Coturnix japonica: one gene and its partners. The protein of the gene in region 3 interacts with the protein of the main gene of each other region in a pairwise test. Links are inferred from orthologs where the notes say so. Each region holds a gene or a part of one and is shown on either strand. Other genes may lie near its edges. The genes, in order: LMO4, DR1 and NFYC.

What was found.
Region 1: the proteins of NFYC (region 3) and LMO4 interact in binary tests that used the Homo sapiens proteins (3 or more experiments, as listed by UniProt). The link is inferred for Coturnix japonica from reciprocal best matches to the Homo sapiens genes NFYC and LMO4.
Region 2: the proteins of NFYC (region 3) and DR1 interact in binary tests that used the Homo sapiens proteins (3 or more experiments, as listed by UniProt). The link is inferred for Coturnix japonica from reciprocal best matches to the Homo sapiens genes NFYC and DR1.

What each region holds. Positions count from the first base shown.
Region 1 is NC_029523.1:13,758,087-13,762,463, forward strand, and holds the start of LMO4 (LIM domain transcription factor LMO4), read right to left. Parts: upstream 2,905-4,377; 5' UTR 1-2,904. UniProt on the Homo sapiens protein: Transcription cofactor. Plays a role in establishing motor neuron identity, in concert with MNX1, acting, at least in part, to disrupt LDB1-LHX3 complexes thereby negatively modulating interneuron genes in motor neurons.
Region 2 is NC_029523.1:12,067,261-12,070,895, forward strand, and holds part of DR1 (protein Dr1), read right to left. Parts: intron 1,958-3,635; coding exon 1,811-1,957; 3' UTR 1-1,810. UniProt on the Homo sapiens protein: The association of the DR1/DRAP1 heterodimer with TBP results in a functional repression of both activated and basal transcription of class II genes.
Region 3 is NC_029538.1:4,321,815-4,326,139, reverse strand, and holds the start of NFYC (nuclear transcription factor Y subunit gamma), read right to left. Parts: upstream 2,832-4,325; 5' UTR 2,708-2,831; intron 2,458-2,707; exon of another isoform or gene 2,330-2,457; intron 2,176-2,329; exon of another isoform or gene 2,032-2,175; intron 1-2,031. UniProt on the Homo sapiens protein: Component of the sequence-specific heterotrimeric transcription factor (NF-Y) which specifically recognizes a 5'-CCAAT-3' box motif found in the promoters of its target genes.

The DNA of each region.
Region 1 (4,377 bases), on a different chromosome or scaffold from region 3:
CAAATAACTAGTTTGTAGGAAAGTATTTAGTAATCTCACAAATAAACATGCAAAAACATTCAACTGACAAGAAACTACACTGGTGTCTGTAAGTATTAAATAATACTGAGAGCATTAAAAGTTTGCTATCCCTCTGAAATGCAATTTCTTACTCTCTCACTAAGCTCTCAGAGTTGAAGGAAAAAAACAGCATATTTTTTCCATTTCTGGAAAAACCCGTCTTTCTCAAAATGCCAGACCACCTCATTAGTGGAAGCCTTGGTTAGCTTATAGATAGCTGGCAGAGGTGTTTTGTTGTGCTTGTTTCCACTTCATTTTTTCCCCCCACCATTATGAGTAAGTAGAAGTAAAAGCACAGTTTTCATTGCCTGTAATGGGAGCAGAATGTGCTTTTATTTCATAGTCATTTTCCATTCTTCTCCTGGCAGTACCTGGAAAATCACGTGAAGAGAGATGCGACTGTGAGGTAACTTGGTGGTGAAGGCTCCAGAAGCCAACACTAAATGCAGATAACATATTTTTGACTAACAGTGCACATTTACAGCCTCTGACCAGAAATTAAAGAGTACTGTTATATGGAGAAGTCATTAACTGATATTTAAAGCTGGGAAATAGAGGAAGTATGAGGAAACCGAAAATGTAAGGCCTATATTTAACATCTCTTAACTTCAAACTGACCAACTAATGGGGCAAAGCCTTGAAGTTCATTTATAGTGGAAGAAATGAACATGAGACCTACGTGATTAATGCATCTTCTCCTTGAATGTAAGGCTTACGTTAGAAGAAAGCCATGCTGCTTTTGCAGTGTTTCAGAACTGCTGAAGCCAGATCATGTCCTCTCCAGATTCTGGATTAACCAAGGTTCAGACTATACAGCAGAACAGGTCCACAAAAACTTCAAGGCTTTTTTACCAACAGATTTAACTTGTGTCATGGTTAGAAACAGAGTTCATAACTAGTTAGGCTTGAATAGTTATCACAGGTAATGATGCATGGGAAGGAAAACATGCAGTGCTGGGAACATAATTTTCAGGGTCAACTTCAGAAAGCCATACAGTTTTATCTATAGAATCAGCAGAGAAGCAAGCATGCAGCCTGGCATATAAAGGTCATATTGAAGCCACTCTTCAGACATCTCCCTAGCTGGGTGTTGCTGAGCCTGGAGCTGAGCTGTGGCTTCTGCAGCCACCGGCAGGAATAGGGTGCTCTGCCTCCAGGCGGGGCCCACACAACTCTGGCAGATGCCAAGGGAGCAGAAGGCATTGACACCAGCACAAGGGTCCTCAAGATCTTCCAAGAACGAAGGCAGAGAGAGTAAAATAGAAGTAGCTGAGAGATGATACAGCTGCTTTGCAGAGTACAGCCACAACAGGAGCTGTAATCAGAGAGAAAACAGCGTGCCTGTCTGAAATGCTATTTCTGCTTTATTGTGTAAATACAGGAACTATGACTTCATGTCTCACACTTCAAGAGACATACTCTCAGGCTTGTTTTCTTCCATATCTGAGCTCTAAGACATGCAAAATGTGTCTCTGTATTTCAGTTCTGGCTGGAGGTTAATCTCTAGAAACAAGTAATGTAACATTTCCATCTATCTTTTCTATTCTTTTGGCGGTTTTAATTACACTAATATACTATGACACTTTAAACAAGACACATCTCAGCTTATGGCCTGCTCTGCAATGGTTCAGCTGCTGTGTGTGCTCCAGCACATTTTGCTCAGACAGGCTGCTGCAGGCTGGGGGTGCAGAATAGTGCCCTTCTGTCATGAGAGATTTCATTGCACTGATCATTGTGTATTTGACAGACTCTTTGTCAATGTCAAGTGTCTTTTGTGGTTAAGCCCAGTAAAGCTAAAACAAAAGGTCTCCTAGATATTAGATATATAGTGACATTACTGAATTCACTCGGAGGCAGTAATTTTTTGTCAGCCTCTGAAAAGAAAAATGGAGCTAATGGGAAAACAAAAGGAAGATGCTGGCATGTCTTTTTAGCTATTTTTGTTTATGTCAGACAGTGTGATTGACATCTGGCCCAGAACACCCTTTCAACCACCGAGGCTGATGTCATGAAACAGAACAAAGAGAAACTGCCAGGCAAGAAAACACTAATGGCTCAGAAAGCACTTTTTTGGGTTTATTTTCTTTTAAGTGTTTCATTTTCAGTAATCAGTATCACTGCACAAAAGTGCACTCATAGGCACCCCCTCTTACTATTTGGACTTCTAAGTTTCCTTTGTGTTTGCTTTCTTCCTTCTTGCCTGAATGGCACCACAGTTCTGGTTTGGTTGGTTGACAGTCTGTCATAACAGTGATGTTTGAGGTTAGTGAAAACTGACATGAAAAATACAATCCACTGGCCTTTAACTGAAATAGCAGCTCTGTTTTTTTGTGGAGTTGGCAGGCAGCATTTTTAAACCCCTTTCACGGTGAAGGCAGTTACAACATGTTTTTCTCTGTATCAAGCAGTTCCATCATGAAGTGCATTATCTACATCTGTTGTCATATCAGGATACTGCCTTTGAAGAGCAGTTTACTGTTTCTTGTGAGATCACTTCTGCTGAAGCACCCTAAGAGGGTTAAGGAAATTTCATGGTCATTCTCCATTGCCAGGCCCATTACAACGCTTTAACATTTATTTAAGAGAGTTTTAGAAGTGTCAGTGACCAGAACAGCTCCTGCAGACACACAACACCACAGAGACTTCTGCATTTGCTCGCCACTTTGTCAAAATAGGAAGAATCCCAGTGTCCCTCTAATATTGTCTAGAGTCATTATATACATTATAAGCATAATGTTCGCATTCTGCAAGTGCTGTAGATTTTGATGTACTTAGTCAGCGTTATGTGCTAGCAGGAGGAAATTATTCTCTAAATTTTTAACTTTGTCTTGAAAGTATGATGCTAAACATAAACCAAATGACTACGAAAAAAAAAAAAAAGCAACAATAAAACATAAAAGAAAGCTTTTGGCAAGACAAGAGCAGGACATTTTATCAGCTATTTAGGTACAGTTACATTCTGAAATCATTGGAGAATTCTTAACAAAAGAGATCTTAATCACTTTAAAAGATTCCAAGGAATTTGGCCTTTGAATGCATCAGGTGTGCTGCAGCTAAATATCCCTGCACCTTTTTAATAGGGTTTACTCCAGTATTTAATGCAGAGCTATATTCTCCTCTAGAAGCACACACTTAACTCCCCCCAGCACTAATAACAGATATGTTCACACATCGAGTGGAGAATTTTCTCTCTGTCTTTGCACAGTGTTCTAAAAAGAACTTTGAAGAAATTGAGAAAAACAGAAAGAGAAGTATATTAATTTTAAGGAGATGAAAGCACCACATGTCATTCCTAAATTTCATGGAAAATGCTCCGTTAGTAACAAAGATGAGCAGAAAATTTCAAAATCATTTTGAGCAGCATTAAAATCAGTCCTCCCTGATTTTCTGTTTTCCCCTTCTTTTCAAAGCACATACATTAAACTCATTTTATGCTTATAATGTATATAATGATTCCAGACAACATGAGAAGGACATTGGGATTCTTCCTATTTCGACGTATAAAGTGGCAAGCCAATTTATGCAGCTTAAACCATTGCTAAGGAAGATGTATCAAAAAATGCCTGTGATCATTACAAATAACAGCCTGAAATGTTCACAAGAAGCTGTTTGCTTATCATATTTTCATTAAAACATCTTTTCACCTGCTTTGCTTTTCCCATGCCTGTAACCTGCATTGTAATCAGTCTTATTAACTGAGAACATAAATATGATTTATTATAGTCTGATAATGGAAGCTGCATGGACCAAGAGAAGGGATATATTGTCCTTTGATAAAATGGCTCTTTTCTCTCAAATAGAGCTCTATCATGAGAGCATGCAGAATGTAGTGAGTGATTATTTCCTGAGGGTGAATGATGGCAGAACCCTACAGAAAATCTTCTTGTTGGCCATGACAGCCTCCGAGTGTCCCCAAATCTCACTGAGTTTGACAACCTGCAGACACTTTTGATGAACTGTATTCTTCTGTCAGAGACAGCCTGTCTGGGAGGAGAAAAGGGAACCTTTATCGTCTGATCTGCTATTATTGTCTTGATCTTTTATAAGCAATCTCTAATGCACATGAATATAATATCCTTTCACACAAGTGCCAAACATAATAGAAATGTAGTTTAAGGACCTTTTTCCCAGTTATGTAAATGTCCTAGTGCCATAATTATAAAAGATGGTTTGTGAATGATAGCTGTAAGGAAAGGATAATGAAAATGTTTTAACATTATCTTTCTGTTTTAAAGACCAAAACCTGTGATAAATAGCATTTATGGTACATATGGGGAACCAGTTTGTGCTGAAGCTTTTACCTAAAAAAGAATAGTT
Region 2 (3,635 bases), on a different chromosome or scaffold from region 3:
ATACCTAATATTATTTAAAAGGAAAAGACTCATTTAAAATAGAAAGGTGTGAAGGTGTTACAGTACAAATTAGAAAAGCCAACACTGCACATTAACATTGTATCACTAGACTAGATTTTCTACCTTTGGTACTTAAACCTTCACAGAAAACCACTTCCTTAATCAAACCTTGCCTAACACATATCATATAGTAGCTGTGAAAGGTTTTTCGTTTGTTTTAACTTAAATATTAAAATACATTTCTGACTTTTCACTGTATTAATGCATTTAAGGAAGTGTTCACATTTACTCTATATGAAACTTAACGCATCTCACACTTAAAAGTCACTAAGAGACTCAGACCTGAATATATGCCAATTGTACCTTGTTCAGATCGTTATGTAAAAATGGACATGATGTTTTCCACTTGTATCCTTACACAAACAGACTTGCTGCCCTCCTCAGGACCCACGACTAGAGCAACCTGCTGAGGTCTCAGGTTAAAATAAACAAACTGCATTGTTACAGAGCTATGAGATCATCTACAGCAGTACACAAGTGGCTTTTCTAGTCTGCTCAGATTAGTGTACCAGAAGATATGACAGTATTACTTCAAGTAACACATTAAAACCCAGTAATGGACACTACTGTGCTTTATTTCAACACAAAGAACAGCCGCTCATCCATTAATCAACAGAATTTTCAAATCAACTATCAAAAGGACTACTACAGTTCTGTTCCATGTCTTACCCATCACTTTGGGAAATCCTTTGTCAAAAACCTGGACTTACCTACAAACCAATTTGAGTGATGAAAATGTTATCTTTGAAAGTATTCTAATAATCCAGTGGCAACCTAGTGTGGAAAACATTAGCATTACGCTGACAACGATGACTTATCAAGGTTAAATAAAATCCCTCTTTTATTGTAAGCATGCTCGGAGCTTCAGCTTTTGCCTTCACAGGCTTGAATCATTCCCAGTTACATCAGCGGAACCAGAACAGTTCTGTTTCATCAAGTTCCAGTTTTATATTTCAACAATATGAACATATCTGGACTACGCAATAACATCAACAGGTAACATTAAATCGGAGCAAAACAATAAGAAGAGTTAGTTTTCCAAAACTGGCAGTCTTCCAAGTAAAATATTCAGTCAGGACTGACTGTCAAAGGACGTAGTAATAAAACCATGGGTTTATTTTTTTCCATCCCATACCAAAAAGGATTCAATTTGTACAACTCCTATTAAACATACGTTTTCACCAAGCTAGGAAAGGTATCATTTTCAAATGGTAACAAGTGTGGTATTGGAGCATTTATAGTATTTATTGCCATATATATCCGCATTTTAAAAAGAACAAAGAATTCAAGACTGTACTATGCTGAACTTGACTTCTTTCCCATTAACAGTTTACCTCTACTGTACCACTCCCCCCAAAAACAATTAAAAATTCTAAGTAAGATTTTATAGTTTAGTTAAAAGGGAAGAAATGCAAATGTGGATTTAGAGCTTTTTGTATAAATCTCACTGTATTTTATAAACTTGTTGTTCATTGTAACACTGTTTATTGATCAAATAAGTGACGCACTGCTATCTAAAATTTCCATATACACCATTAAAAATCCAAAGTCGATATGATACTGAACCTTAAATCTTCAAGAGTTCAAAAAAAGACAGTTTATACATGTACAGCACACAACAGCAGACACCCCTAGAATACCAACTGCCAGTCCATGATGCATACAAACTTACAGGTAAGCATTCATTTCACTGTTTTCATTGTGCAGGAAAAATATTTCTTAGTGAAGACAGAAACCCAGCTGGTGAATTTCAGATATCATCTTCATCATCTTCATCCTGAGAAGATCCTGCCTGATTGGATGCACTGGCTGAGGCAGCAGCAAGTTGTGCCTGTTGAGCTGCTTGTTGCATCTGCAGCCACTCTTGCTGTGCCAGTTCTGCTTGCTGTTGTCTAGCCTAAAGACATGAATTTAATTGTTAAGGTCATACTGTAACTTGTGAAGAATCTCTAGAGCACCTTAGCTATAAAAGCAGTTTTATCTGCACCTGTAGGCTCCTTTTACATAATTTTTTATTAACTGTGCACACACATGTCTAGAAAACATGTCTAGAAATACCTTTGTTATTTGTACTAGGATGTCCAGCTATATTTGCTCTTCCTCTGAAGAGGCCAACATTTAGAGGATTTATACTTTCCAGAACAAGTACATTAGTCCACACCTCTTTAGTTTCATTGTAAGGGTTGTACTGAACCACTTACTAATGAAAAGATAAAGCAAGACAAAGCAATAAAATAATTTACGGCTCAGTTTCAAGGCCTCTTAGCATTCAGCCACCATTCAGAGACGAGAACAGTCCTACACTGCTGATTACAAATAATGTTGGCAATTACAAATTCATCCCTCTCACCACAGCATGTAGAAATACAAAAAGAAAACAAACAAAAAAACCACCAAAAAACAAAAACAAAAACAAAAAAAAACCAAAAACCAACCCACAGAAATGAAGAAATCCATTATCTCACTCTGCTAAGCCATCCTGGGAAAACAGAGCAATCTGAGCTCTTCTTAAATAAGGAGAGGCAGGTTGAGATGCCTTTGTTACAGAAAGGCATGTTATCTGTACTTCAAGGTACAAGATGTTCTAACCATGTTCTTCAAGTAGCTCACATGGTGCCTTCCCATTTTCCCATTTAGAGCTTTTTTTCTGTTTTTCAGCAACTATTTTTGATTTCAACACTGTGTTAACGTTTCATTTTCTGTTTTGAAAGTTCTCTAAATTAAAAACCTTCAGTATTCTTTATTTGCTCACTGAATTTTCCTTTCTTTTTCCAAAGCCTCAACAAACCAGCTTTCCAAACTTCAAGACACCAAAAGATGGTACTTCAGAAAATGATCAAAACCAGTTTACCTATTTAGTATACATGAAAAAAAGAAGTCTTCCTATACAATAAGAAGTGTTGCAATTTCTCAGCCTGTTCAACACTTCCCAATGAGGACTTCTCAGTATTTCTAAGTTTAAGCAGTAGCCAAGCTAAAAAGGTTGGAAAACAATTCAAGATGCTGTAAATCTGCAGCATCAGCTGTATTGACTAAGAAGCCTTAACAGCATCTGGGGTAAACTGAACTCATTTATCGAGCAACCCATTTACACAGGAACTTTACAAGCAACCTTTAGTAAGGAAGCCTCAAAAAGAACACTTCTGTTGATGACCTCATCTTCCACACTTTTAGACATGCACGAATATCAGGAAGAATCATTAGACTAACTTTAAACATTCACCACCATCCTCATACCAACTTACGTATAATTTAATTGTGCTTAATTCAAGTTAATTAAGTGTAATTTAGTATTAAGTAATACTTGCCACGTTGTAACATAACACTTTTAAAAATCATATAAAAATCAACACAATTTTGTTAAACCTGCATGTACTGTCTTTAATTTAGGCACTAAGGCACAGTATTATGGAATTTAAAACAACCACCAAAACACACTTCACGTGGCCCATTCTGCCTACATAAGGTAGCAATGGTTTTTAGCATTCTTGTTTTATGTTACTTAGGAGGTGGTACCCCCTCAACTATCTTTGTTGTTCTGAATATCCATCATCATTTTGTAGACCAAAGTTTTT
Region 3 (4,325 bases):
AAAGTGACCCACTTTGACTCATCAGGCAGAGACCAAACAGGACAGCAAACCATAGACAACAGGAGAGAATCCCCACGGTGAGATCTCAGCATGCAGGAATTGTTGGGTTCTGAGCAATACACAACAGGAGCTTCCTCAGCAGGACCCGACGTTTGGACACACTGACAATGCCATTGAAGTTAACCATACCAATCTGATTCACTTCCAGTGCAGGCAGCCCGAGAAGCTGCTTCCTGTACCTACACCACTGGAATACAGATGTCACGCTGCATTATATAAATATCACATCCCAGGCCAATTCAAGGAACCCAACAATACAAACACCAACACAAGCTCTGAAGGTGACCTCCTGCAGGCCCCTGAGTGTCTCAGCCCATAGGAACCAGCTTCCCACAACAACCCCATGTCCTCTATGCCTTCCCTGCTTGTTCTGCCAGCTGTGTTAATACAAGAAATAACCATGGAAAATACCCATACAAAACACAGGGCCTGGTTTGCAGGCCTGCTCAAAACAGGGACCCTCACATTGCAGCACAAATGGGACATGGGAATATTCCCTCCACTCCATGAGGGTCAGAGTGGGCAGAATGTGGACCCAAATCCCCTTTCAGTGCTGGATTGAGCAGCACCTACTGCTGTACATCCACGGCCTATTGCAAGCTCAAGATCCGAAATATGACCAATGCTGGATGTAAAGAAGACTCTGGCTACATCTTAAAAGCATGGAGCAGCTGAATACATCCAAAATACATGGAAAAAGCAGCTTAAAATGGCTCATCTCTAAGAGGCCAGCAGTGACCTTCTTGCTAGTGACAATGCCCAGGTGCCCCACAGGTGCTGCTGCCCCACCAATGACCCGGAGCAGCCACTGGTACCAATAGGGGATGGTTTCCCTCTGCCCTGTTCAGAGCTGAAACCACATGAAGCCACAGAAAGCTGAGGCTGAAGAAGGGCAATGATTTTCACCAGGGACACTCAGAGGCTGCAGCAACTCAGGCTGCAACCAGAGCCCAGTGTGGTCCCTCAGTTACAGGTGGCATCACCGAGGGTCGAGCTCAGGGAACGCGCCCAGCCCTGACATAAGATGCACAATGTAATTACAACATAATTACCTCCAGGTCTGAGAACCGTGATTCTGAAGGCAGCAATCTAAAGCTGGACAACAAAAAGCCGTGGAGTGGGCTCAGCACAACGACTTGTGTCCTGCAGCCCTACCAGCACCACAAGGACATGCCAACATCCCACTGCACTGCAGGGTGCGGAATGCCTGCAATGTGCACTCAATTTGACCAGCACACCGTTCCCTGTGCCCTCAGAGCTGTGGTTGAGGTGGAGCAGCTTCATTTTCCAACTCACATTCTTTTCTTTTTCCTTTTCCATCCCCGGCCAAAGCGCCGTAAACAAACTTTGTCCTTCATTCTGGAGGCCGGGAGCCGCGGCATCTCAAGGTCACTGCTGCTCATGTGGGGAGGCCTCACTCTGGCGCTGGGCTGCAGCTCAGCACCGGCTCCAGGCCCGTGTTCCCCCGTGGCTGCCCACTCACCCGTGTCTCTCTCATCTCTGTGATCACAGTGTGTGCCCAGCGCTGCTCGGAACCTCAGTGACCTTCAGTGTTCGGTGGCAAACGGGACAGAAAACAAAGGGCTGCGGGCAGGAGCCTGGATTCGGCTGTGGGCCCGATGCCCCCGGTGCCGTTGGGCCGCAGAGGCCGGTTGTCCCGCATCCCCGTTTATCTCCATCCCCACGGCACAGCACGGCACACACCGGGTACAGGCGCTGCCATTTTGTGCCCCCCCTCAATCCACGCTCCCGGTTGGCGGCTCAGCCCCGTTTGACCCCTCCGTTCACCCCCCCCTTTATCTCCTCCTCCTTCTCCTCCAGGCCGGGGCTCAGCCCGGTGCACGTTCCGGTACCGTCAGCCCCGTCCATCCACCCGCACGGCGGGGAGGCCCCGAGCGGTGCCATGGCCGCGCTGTCACCGGGCCGCCCCCCGCCCAACCCGCGCTGTCCCCGCAAGCGCCACCGACTCACCGAGCCGCAGGGGGCCCCCACCGGGTGGGTCGGGCCGGTGCCGCGGGGCGGCGATCCCCGTTCATCCCGGTCCGTTCCGCCATTCCTTTGTCTTTGAGCTGACCCCTGTCTGCCGGGACTCCACGTCCCCGCCGGACCGGGACGCGGCCCCTTTAAGAGCCGCCGCTCAGCCTACCCTGCTGCGCCCACCCCGCCGCGCCCATTGGCTGAGCGCCGCCGGGGGGAGCCGCGGTCCCGAGCGCTGATTGGCTGCCGCCGGCGGCTCGGCCCGCCCGCCCGCTTCCTGCTTTCAAGTTACCTTGAGGCGCAGCGCAGGGGTCACAGCGCCGCCCAACCGCGGCCCCTCAGCAGCGCGGCCTTACGCCCTCCAATCCCGCTGCACGACGCTGATTGGCCAGCCGACACGCGGAGGGGGCGAGCGGCGCTTCCGATTGGCCAGCGCCGCTGTCACTCTCCGCAACGCCCGCCCCACCCCGCGCCGCGCGGGGAAACGGCCGAGCTCCCGGTCCGCCTGTGGGCAGCCAATCAACGCGCGGCTTCTTCCGCCCGCCTCCCCTCGCGCGGGCCAATCAGCGCGCGCGGCGCGGCTATGCCAATCGGAGGGGGGGGGGGCGCGGCCCTGACTAGGCCGCCCGCCTCCCCCCGCCGCCATCCAACCCGCCCCTCACGTACTCACCGTGCCGGTCGGCGCCGCGATCTCCGCCTCCTCCGCCCGGCGGCCGAACGGCGGGAGGCGGGAGGGGGAGGGGTGCGGCTGGAGCTGGAGCGCGCGCCCGGCGGCCGAGAAACAAGATGGCGGCGCAGCCGTGAGGCGGCGGGGCGGAGGCCACGCCCCTTCCCCTTGGGCCGCTTCAACGCGCAGGCGCATGACCCGGGGCTGATCTCGCGAGATTTCGGCCGGGGCGGGAGCCAACGGGCGGGGCCTGGAGCTGGGCTGGGCCGCACCGGGAGCGGAGCGGGGCCGGGAGGGGGCGGGCAAGGCCTCGGGATGGGCTTCGTGTAGACGTGAGGCCTCAGGCCTGGCCTTGTGCACAGCCAGGCACGGAGAGCCGCTCCTCAAGGCCCTGCCGGCACAGTCAGAGCCGTTATATGGCGGAGCTGCCTCACGATGGTTCACTGTTTGCAGCCGGTTTCCAGCTATGGAGGTGCAGCTGTGGAGCTTGTTGTGTGCCCTGCGTGGGACGAGGGAGACCGCAGCCGTGTCTGTATGAAACAGGATGGATCTCAATCCGTTGTGCTTTCAGAGCCCTTAAGGCTGTGTGCTGGTGGCACCAAAATGCAGCAAACTCACCCCGTTTTATTGCAAATCATGGAGGTTTGGGGACATTGATAATGCACAGCAGCCAAGAGGAGCAAGAGATGAGCCACAGCGCTTAGTAACAACTGCTTTCCCCCTCCTGATTCCCACTATAAGCCGGTCTCCTTTTGCTGCACCGTCAGGGAGCCGTGATGTGCACAGCAGCCCCTTGCTGCAATGACTCATTTATAAATCAATTAGCCACAACTGCTGCTGACTGCTGCTGCTCCCAGCTGCACAACAGCCAGCTGTCTCCGTGCTGAAGGAGGGCATTGAGTGCAGCACCCACCCCTCCTCCTGCTGGATCCCTTTGCGTTGCCCTGTGCCCGCGATGCTCCATTTCCTTCCCACCTGCTCTTGGTTTCCCCAAGGATCTCAGCCATCTGCAGACACAGAGATGTCCATGTCAGCCTGCTTGAAACAGAGGAGCCAAGAAAAACCCCCACCAACCAACCAACCAACCAAGCAACCAACTAAACCCCACAGCAGCTTTTTTTCCACTTGCTGGTTCCTGTGTGATTCCTTGTGGTGCTTTGTTGATTTCACACTTGCTGACATCTGCTACCTGCTCAACCGGGGCCTCCTGTGCCAGCAATGAGACCCAGGGGGGCTGTTCTGCACACAGACTGCAGCCTCCAGCCGGCTTCTATAGGGCTGGGTTTGTTTGGCACTTAAGGAAATGGGTTGCTACAGCAGAGGTTGCACTCCTGGCCTTCCTCCCATCAGTCAGCCCTCTCCCATCCCACCTGGCTCCCATTACAGCATCCCTCTGCACTGATCCCAAACCAGCAGTTGCTTTGGGACGAGCATCCCCAAGCAAAGAAATGAGTAAAGAAGAAAAAATCTGGATGTAAATAATGGATTGAGATCCACCTGAACACAGAGACGTTGCCTTGTAGAGCTGGGAGAATAAAAAGAAGCCGTTTGGGGTCAGATGTGGGGGCTCTGTGGTCCAGCAGGGCACCTCCTTTGGGTGCTGAGAGCCCCTGAGCCTGCT